Arabidopsis thaliana: one gene and its partner. The protein of the gene in region 2 interacts with the protein of the main gene of each other region in a pairwise test. Each region holds a gene or a part of one and is shown on either strand. Other genes may lie near its edges.

The links.
Region 1: the proteins of NUC (region 2) and RSZ22a interact in a two-hybrid assay, tested with the Arabidopsis thaliana proteins (one large-scale study listed by BioGRID).

The regions. Positions count from the first base shown.
Region 1 is NC_003071.7:10,447,832-10,451,766, reverse strand, and holds RSZ22a (RNA recognition motif and CCHC-type zinc finger domains containing protein), read right to left. Parts: upstream 2,137-3,935; 5' UTR 2,064-2,136; intron 1,942-2,063; 5' UTR 1,931-1,941; coding exon 1,842-1,930; intron 1,753-1,841; coding exon 1,664-1,752; intron 1,569-1,663; coding exon 1,319-1,568; intron 1,227-1,318; coding exon 1,101-1,226; intron 944-1,100; coding exon 907-943; 3' UTR 583-906; downstream 1-582. UniProt on the Arabidopsis thaliana protein: Probably involved in intron recognition and spliceosome assembly.
Region 2 is NC_003076.8:17,771,253-17,776,571, reverse strand, and holds NUC (C2H2-like zinc finger protein), read right to left. Parts: upstream 3,717-5,319; 5' UTR 3,482-3,716; coding exon 3,343-3,481; exon of another isoform or gene 2,937-3,342; coding exon of another isoform or gene 2,915-2,936; coding exon 2,518-2,914; intron 1,924-2,517; coding exon 1,059-1,923; 3' UTR 823-1,058; downstream 1-822. UniProt on the Arabidopsis thaliana protein: Transcription activator that binds to the DNA sequence 5'-CTTTTGTCC-3'. Regulates photoperiodic flowering by modulating sugar transport and metabolism. Regulates SUS1 and SUS4. Transcription factor that regulates tissue boundaries and asymmetric cell division.

The DNA of each region.
Region 1 (3,935 bases), on a different chromosome or scaffold from region 2:
ATGATGAAATTGAAACCAATGAGCAGAAAAATCTCTCGTTTAAAGATTAGTCCATGTACCAAACGTGATGAAACCAAAGGAATGACTATTGCAGATGGCGATAAGTGTTTATCCAAGTGCCCACCTCAAACAAAGCAGAGACGTTCTACATACTCTAAACTATTCTACACCGTAAGACAAGTTTCTTCGAAGCCTGCCTGAAAGGTATTAAATACCTGCCAGAGTAGCAAGTGCAACTCCTCGGCCATTTTAAGTTCAAGAAAAGCAAGACCAGCAATCATCAGAGCCGATGAAGTTTTCAAACATAAGAGCATCTAGATGAGAAGCAGAGTAGATGTGAACTAACATAAAGATCCCAAAGCAGGCCGATCAAAATAACCAAGAAGCCAGAAGCAGTTAAGCAATGAAGCAGAAGTAGTGGTAAACAATTATGAAGATCCCAAAGTAGGCAGATCAAAATAACGAAGAAGCGAGAAGCAGATAAGCAATGAAGCAGAAGTTGTGGTAAACTACTATGAAGATCCCATAGCAGGCCGACCAAATTAACCAAGAAGCCAAAAGCAGATAAGCAATGAAGCAGTAGAAACCTGAAGAAACCTCGAGATGATAGAACAAAAAACAAAGAAAATGCATAGGTTTTTAGCAGAGCTTTTGTTTATGTCTTTTAAGAACATGGGTAGATATTTAAAAGTACTTTACCTAACGGCAGATACAACTATGGCTTCATAATCCAAACGCAATAAGAAGCTTTCCAGCAATTCAAAAGTAGCAAGCATATCCAATCCACCACACAGCTAAAACATATTCTCTTAGTGAAATTCACAGATACTAATTTCCTCTCCTCTTGACGTCACAAGCAAATAGTTGTCTCCTGATCCCATAATTTGCTATCTAGACAAGTAACACTCAGCTCCGGCTTCTGCGCACATCTTTCAGACCATTTCTGCATAAACAAATACAAAAACTTATCAGCCACATGGACTCTGTTTTTTAACACAACGTCTAACAAAAAAGTCTTTGGGACGATAATGCCACTAGTTCAGTTTCAATTTCTTATATTGATTGAGATACAGTAGACTCAAGAGCAAGGGGAGTTTTACCCATTAGCATATGGCACCTCGTCACGTGCTCTATAAGGTGGTGGTGACCTACTGTAGTTGCGACCACGAGGAGAAGGACTACGACGTCTTGGAGGAGGAGGAGATCTAGCACGAGGGCTGTAACTTCTGTGAAACCAAAAGACAAGGTAATAAATCAATGAGGTAGACCAATTTCTTTTAGTTGCAAATCGTCAATCAGAAAGAATAGGGACAATAACCTTCGTCCTCCATAGGTAGGACTCTTTCTGTATCTAGGAGGACTGCGACTACGGCTGCGGCTACGACGCCTACCACCAGAACCACCACGAGAACGACATTCACGTGCAAAGTGACCAGACTCACCACACTCATAGCACTTCAAATCAGAACCACCACGTCCACGACCACCATCACCTCCTCCACGACCACCACCACGACCTCCACCACCACCACGGTTATGAGACTGCTCTACCCTCCATCCATTCTTGCCTACCATAACAATATAGATCATATATATATCAAACTCATAACAACTCATAACAACTCATAAAACCAGACCAGTAGAATAGAAGACCAACGAATACCATCTACTTCACGGATGGCGTCACGGGCATCTCTTGAATCTTCAAAATCAAGAAAAGCGTAACCAGGAGGTCTTCTAGCAACCCAGACACTGCACAGACACCAAAAGAACAATGAGGATAAATGCAAATTCACACACTTTACATCAACTAAAAACCAAAAAGGAGTCAATTTATGTACCTCCTGATCACACCAAAGGAACGAAACTCATCCTCGAGTTCACGTTCAGTAACTCGCGGATCCAAATTACCAACATACACACGCGACATCCTCAAGTTACCTATCAACAAAAGGCTTCAATTCAAAAACTTTGAAAGCGATGAATTCAAAAAGATGAAATCTATAGATCGAAACTACGAATGAATCTGGAGTAAAGAAGTGACAACGGAGATCGGGATTTACCTGAAGAAACGGCTTTGGCTCTTTCTCTTGCTCGTCTGTGAGAAATTAGGGTTATCGATTCGAAATTGAAGATGAAAGTTATTTTTTGTGGGTCAACTTTAAATGTCCTTCAAAAGTTATTCCTTGATTTGGGCTTAAAATGGGCCGCATGCGATATGGTACAGTAACAATAATGCCTCATATTCATGCAATTACTGATTATAAAATTAAAATGTCAGATGTTAAATAATAATAATTCAAAATTAAAAAAAAGCTCTCAGCATATAAAAGGAATTCAAAAAAAAAATGAGTATCACTCTTAAGTATTTATACGATTTTCAAAAAAAGTTGATAAAACTTACCGAAAATACAAAAAAAAAAGAAATTGAAATCTACATAAATCCCCAAAAACTACAACACAACACAAGGAGAAAACACTAAGAAAACACAAGCGAAAACTTCACAAGTAGAGATCCTGAGAAAAACACTGTTTCTAAACCCCAAATTGAAATCTCGTCGTAAATTCAAATTTTAATTAAAAAATATAAAGAAAGCTCTTTTCTATGTCCACTGAATATTTTATGTAAATGAAGAAAGCTCTTTTTATGCTCATACTTTTATGTATATACTAACCCATACATCTCAGATGATGAGGATGAGAGAGGAAAATAAAACTTAAGAGGGAGACTATTTGACCCAAAAAAAAAAAAAAAAAAAAAGAGAGAGACTATTACCTCTAGTTTTTGAACTAAGTGAAGAAAACTATTTCGTTCAAATTTTTATTTATAATAATAATTCACTCATTAAGCATCACAAATTAGACAATAGATGCATCAGCCTATTTGTAGGCCTAACCAATCCTCTACTTTATTCATCGGAATCGATCACTAGATATATAGTCGATAGGCAAACAAAGATATAACCATAAAAACCAATTTTGACACTATTATTTATTTGCGTAATGCTAGTAGGTGTGTACAAATGAACATAATTATGACCATGACAACGGCATGGTAACCACTCATGCCTCGAAGTTCACCTTCTGCTACCAACATATTTCCATCACATCATCCTAGCATTATTAAAGAGGCTAAGATACAACCTTTTAGCTCTTCTAATGCTAATAATCCTAGCATCATCCTAGCATTATTAACTGAGTGCATCTTTAGCTCTTCTAATGCTTTTTCTAGAGAAGAAATGGTTTGAATCACCCTTATTTTACTAATAACATATTTGGGTTTAAGATGAGTTTCTAACTTAAAACCAATTGGCAATGAAACTAATCATTTATAAGTATATTACTTGATAATTTTTCTAATTTTCGAGTGTAACTTTCTCTCATTAACAACTAACCATTCGATTATTTTAAGAACTTTGGTTTTGATACGGTTCAGTTTGGTCAGTTATTAAAATTATTGGGTTTTTTTGCCCATGCCTATATCTCCCAAAATCACAATATTCAAATAAAAACTTTTACCACTTGAACCATGGTTCTAGTTTAGAATGGTTTGTTTGGAAAAGACAATAGAGGCTAAATCGTAATTTTGTGCTTTATCACTTATGAGTTTCACTTTTAAATCAGTCACTTAACAAAAACCGGACGTGACAATATATTATGTCCAGATATTAATTTGGGATTAGCCTATAACATCCAATCATTCCCAAGAGCAATGATATAATTTTGTAGTTTTTTATTTACTATTTAGTGCGCACCTTTCTTGAACCAAGACTCCATTCAGTGACAGGATTAGATAAGTATGTGTGTATTATTGAAATGTCGTCGAGAGTCCACTTGAAGTTTGAACTATGACGACAAGAATTATTCCTTTTCTCTTCTTTCTATTCAGATGGAGAGAAGCTCACCTCAAGATTTTTAAAACGGCACTCAATTAC
Region 2 (5,319 bases):
TATTTGATTTTAAATGTATAGTAGACTGTGAGTTGTATATGTTTTGTTGATATTATCTATATTGTTTAGTGTTTAAGATTATACACTTGTAGTTTGATTATTAATTTAAGAGTTTCACATGTAGTATACCATCTTGTATTAATATCGATATAAACCCGTCAATTCTAGGATTTTCCAGCTTGTATTAAAAATTGAATCACATCTAATATGTTATTAACTATTGTAGTATATAAGATTATAAATTTTCAATATAATATGTATGAAATTGAATATAAATATTTCAAATTTATGTCTCGTTACTCAGTAGAAAGTTTTCTTAAATATATTTTTCACCCGTTATAATATTATTTCATGTATTGAACAGTTTATATTCGTTTTTAAAAATTTAAATTATGGCATATGCGAAAAAACTCTAATTATTTTTTTATAATGATGATATTATTTTTCCGTAAAAATAGAATCATATAAAGATGAGAAATGAACTATAATAATTAATAAAAAATTAATATGATAATTTAGATACCAAATATAGTTTGTTGATTTTAATTGGTTACTTTTTTGGAAATTAATAATGTATTTCGTTTTTCTAATTAAATTAAATTAATTAAAATTTAGATATCAAATCTTATATGTTGATTTTGATTGGCAATTATTTTTGAAAATTAATAATGTATTTCGTTTTTTAATTAATTTAATTAATTAAATTAGTATTTGACTTTTTAATCCTTATAGAGATAAATTAATTTACTCTTTAAAATTTTATTTCTAATGGCATACCTATGTAATTACTTACAAAAATTAAGGTTACATTTAAAATGTACTTCCCGTATGATAAAAATTCAAAAGATTATGAATGTCTTGTGAATGTCATTGACATATATCTTGAAGATAAACACATTCATTATACATATATCATAAGTTTTAGAATATTGAATTAATAAAAGAAAACAACTTCCATTACCATATACATATGTTATCTTAGAAAATGGTGGAAATGACAAAAGATTCCTTCTTCTTTTACGTAATTTATGCATTAACCCCGAAATTTTTAAACTCTTTCAAATCCATCCATTGATAGACGATGGATGGCACAACGTTTGTACACCAACCCCGAGGAAATCCCGAGTTTGCCCTCCTCCACCCACTTCACCTCCACCATCAACTCTTCTACGTTTCCAAGGGTAATTCTGTAATTCATCCAAGGCAGACGCAACCGTAACGTCATTTCTAGCGTTCTCGATCTCTTGATGATCATGACTACGACTCATTAACCCAATGTTGTTGTTAGACCCGAACAAAGCAAAAAACTTTTCGCCACTGTCATAACTGGTGGTTTGATCGGTGGATTTAAGCGGGAAACTTTGAAGAAACGTTGATGGGTCATTGGTCGCTGCGGTTGTTGTAGAAGTAGCGCCAATTTCAGCAGCTTTCTGTAGTAAAGCTGTCGCGGACATATTCACGTTTGAATTTGCGTTTGCGTTTTGTGGTTGGTCGCTGCTGAATAAAGAAGGGGCAGAGAGAGTAGTGGTAGTGGTCAAACTTGCGTTTGCGTTTTGCGTAATCTGCTCATCGTGAGTATTATTATTATCAATGCAAGCAGACGCTGCCTTAGCGTTTCCAAAAACCCAATCGTAGTCCGGTTGCGGTTGAGGCGGCGCGATATCTTGTCCCATCCATAGAGAGAGCGACGAAGAAGTTGGTGGCTGAAAATGTTGATGATGATGGTTTGGATTTGTTTGCGGTTGTGGTACAAATGGTTGAAGCGGTGGGATGAATGTTCCCATGAGATATTGATAGTTGAGATTAACTGATCCTGGGGCTCCAGCCGCGGCTAAACCGTTGAGATGAGACACTGCGTTTATCTTAGCGGTTTCTTCCGCTAAGGCATCGCAGAAAGCTCTATGAGTGATAAAGCTGTCTCGCCTGTTTCAACCAAAACCACCATTAGTTAACGTCTTAATCAACATTTATCTCAATGCATTTATATCAAAGTTTTAACTGATGAAAATACTTGAAAACATTTAGCTGCCTTTTCTTTATGTGCAGCAGTAAAAGTAGAGAAAAACCTAAGTACATATTTCCGTAACATAACTATTGATGTGTCAATCTTGTGTTGACACTTTTTCCGCATATTAAGTAATAAATAATGTTACCATTTTGAACCATACACACATGAAGTACTCCATTATTTGTATATATTATTATATCTAGCTTATGTTATATGTTCATCATGGTTATTATAAATTTATACCACTTTTTGCCTCAATCATGACACTAACAAAAACATTTTCCCAAGCAAGAAACTTTACCCTACTTCAAAAGAGATAAACAAACACATAGGAAATGACAAAACATACTTATAAAACTTAATCAAACTACATATTGACAAAAACGAAGATGTAGATACTATAAAGCTACTATAGAATAGCTTTCGAACATGATCAATACAAACGACAACACATATATACATGAAGCTTATTTTTAATTTAATTGACAGAGAAAGAAAAAAAAGTGTACCTTGAGAAAATGGTGCCACAATCGCAACGGTACTCTCTAGTACCACAAGTCTTGGAATGAGCTTTCCAATCAGATTGGACTGCGTATCTCTTAGCACATTTCTCGCACGTCCACTTCTTCTCCCCGTGTTTCCGGCAAAAATGCTTTTTGATTCCAGTGAGATCGCCTAGAGCTCTAGAGGAGTGATGGTGGACACATGTCTTCTCGGGGCAAACGTAGACACGTTTTCTCACTTCTTTGCTTGTCCTCTGCTTCAACTTCCATGGAAGATTATGTCCTCGCCGATGAAGCTGTAAGTTTTGGTCTCTTTGGAAACCTTTGCCACATACCTCACATAGGAACCGGTTCGTAGCCATCAAGGTCGTGGGGGATAAAGCTATCACTTCAGCTTCCGGATCTAAGTGGATCATCATTAACATTTGTGGTTTCTTTAATTAGGTCAATTCGGAAAACAACATCTATTTTTGGATCGGATCATGTACTTTAGTAAAAATAATGTGTGTGCTTTTCTTGGTGGAGGTAATAATAATAAAGGGTATGTAAATATATTTTCTCATGGAAACTATAATGCGATTTAAAAAAGAAGAACTCTATAGATCAAATAAAAGTTTTAATTTACTAAAAGGCCTAGTATTTTCACATTAATTAAGCATGAGCCAGTGATCTATAACTCATGCAGCCAAATACTACTTTTGATTTAGGTCAAGATCCAGAACAAAACAACCCAAGAAAATTAATTTATAGGGGGCAAAAAAATAGAAAAGATACTAGGGTTTTCTTTTTAGGTGATGATCAAGCTAGCTGAGATTTAATATAAATAATTACCAGGATTTCCAGGGAGATTTCTCTTTTTCTTAACAAGAGGAGGATTGATGAGAGATTCATCATGATCCAGGGTTGATGAGCTCTGTGGCTGAGCAAAACCTGATCCACTTGAGATTGTTTGAAGAACTTCACTTGTCATGTCTTCTTCTGGGTTCTTGACTTCTTGGAAGAGAAATTAAAAGTAGGTTTTTGTATAGTTCAGAGAGAGAGAGAGAGAGAAGGAGACAAAAGGTTAATATAAGAAAAAGATTAGAAATACTAAGAAATCTGCAAGTTAACTATGAACGAGAAGGAAAAAACAACAAAGACAAAGATATATTGGGTTCTCCACTTATATATGGCTTTTGTCTTAACCTATACCACTCTATATTAGCTCCTATATATAAGTGTGTGTGTGTGGGTATATTAGCACCTTGATATGTTAAACTGTTGCAGCCATTTTGATTAAAATATGTGGTTAATTGTATTTTTCTTTTCCTTTATGAGATTATTTTAAAAGAGCAAAGTGGATGGCGGTGGAAAATCATAAGCTGAAAGTGATAGCAGCAGAGCCAATAAAATTTCAAAATGCAGAGATAGAAAAAATTTAACATCCCTTGATTACTTTATAGGCACCCTATGTTTGCAGTTTCACTATGAATTATTTCAATATAATAAACAATTTTCTTTTAGTTTGATTCATTTTATTTCATGTTCATACATCCTTAGTTTTGTATAGACATGGTATTTGCTAAGAGTAATTTTAATTACATTTTTTCACAAATGATAATCATGTATTTATGCATCATACAGCATCAAATGCTTCATTTATATTAAATCTTAGAAAAATCGATTAATAGCCTTGCAAATTCGAAGCGAGCTGTTAAAAAATGTAATTAAATTACCAAGATATTCGAAGTAATTTTGTTGTAGTAGTGCGTTATGACACATAGAAAGTTGATATTTCTATCTTTTCTATTGAGAATGATTATCTCGTTATTTTTGTGTTGCCCTTTCCTCTCCATTTTTTTTTCTGGTTTTTTGGGTCCAATAATTACTTACTTTTTGTTCCTACATGCTCATGTTAACTCAGTGCAAAAAAACAATCTTACTATATTTTTTTTGTTTTTTATTTTATTTTTTACACTTCTTTCTATATGTTTTTTTGGGGATAAAATGTGAAGTTATTTACCAAAAGGAACAGTTTATTAGAAGATCTTTTCGTAGCATCAAAGGTTCATTTGCCAAAAATAAAATAAAAATAAACAAAAATCTAGATACAACAATATTAGGCACTAGAAAGGGCTTTACGCATATGTAAACAAACTACTGGGAGATCAAAATTGTGTACGCCTTGTGATTTTTTCAAGCTTGTAGAGTATATAATACGAAATGCATCGATCAATCTGCCTAAAGAATGATGAGGCTGTAGTGGAGTGTAGTTAATCTTTTTGGATTCAAGGAGTACTTTGATACAGATAGCATAAAGAAATTGTTATATGTATATATATATATATATATGTTTTTATATATCCGTAAATTTTATCTTAAATGAATTATGTTTACAAAGTATTGTAATGTATATCTAGTTACAATAAGATACATTTGCTTTGCCAACAAATAAAAACATTAATCTGATTTATCAATTGCACAATCTCTATAATGCTTATTAATTTGAAGGTATGCAGTATAAGTAACAAAACAATGTATTAAAAAAATTGATTGACATTAGTGATCAATAAGAAAATTATAACTTTATCTATCACCTTTTTCTTTGCAATAGTTGTATTCAGTTTAAATACACAGTTAACGGGATCACTATTCACTCCCATCAGATATCATATACGGACATAGTCATTTTTGTTAGTTATTCATGAATCAGAATTTTTCACAATATGTGAAAGAGGTAAAACAGATCCAACGGTTATGGTCACATCTCTTGTTTGTCGAAGTCGAACAAAGCCTGCCATGCACGTGTACCCATGCACGTGCTCTTTA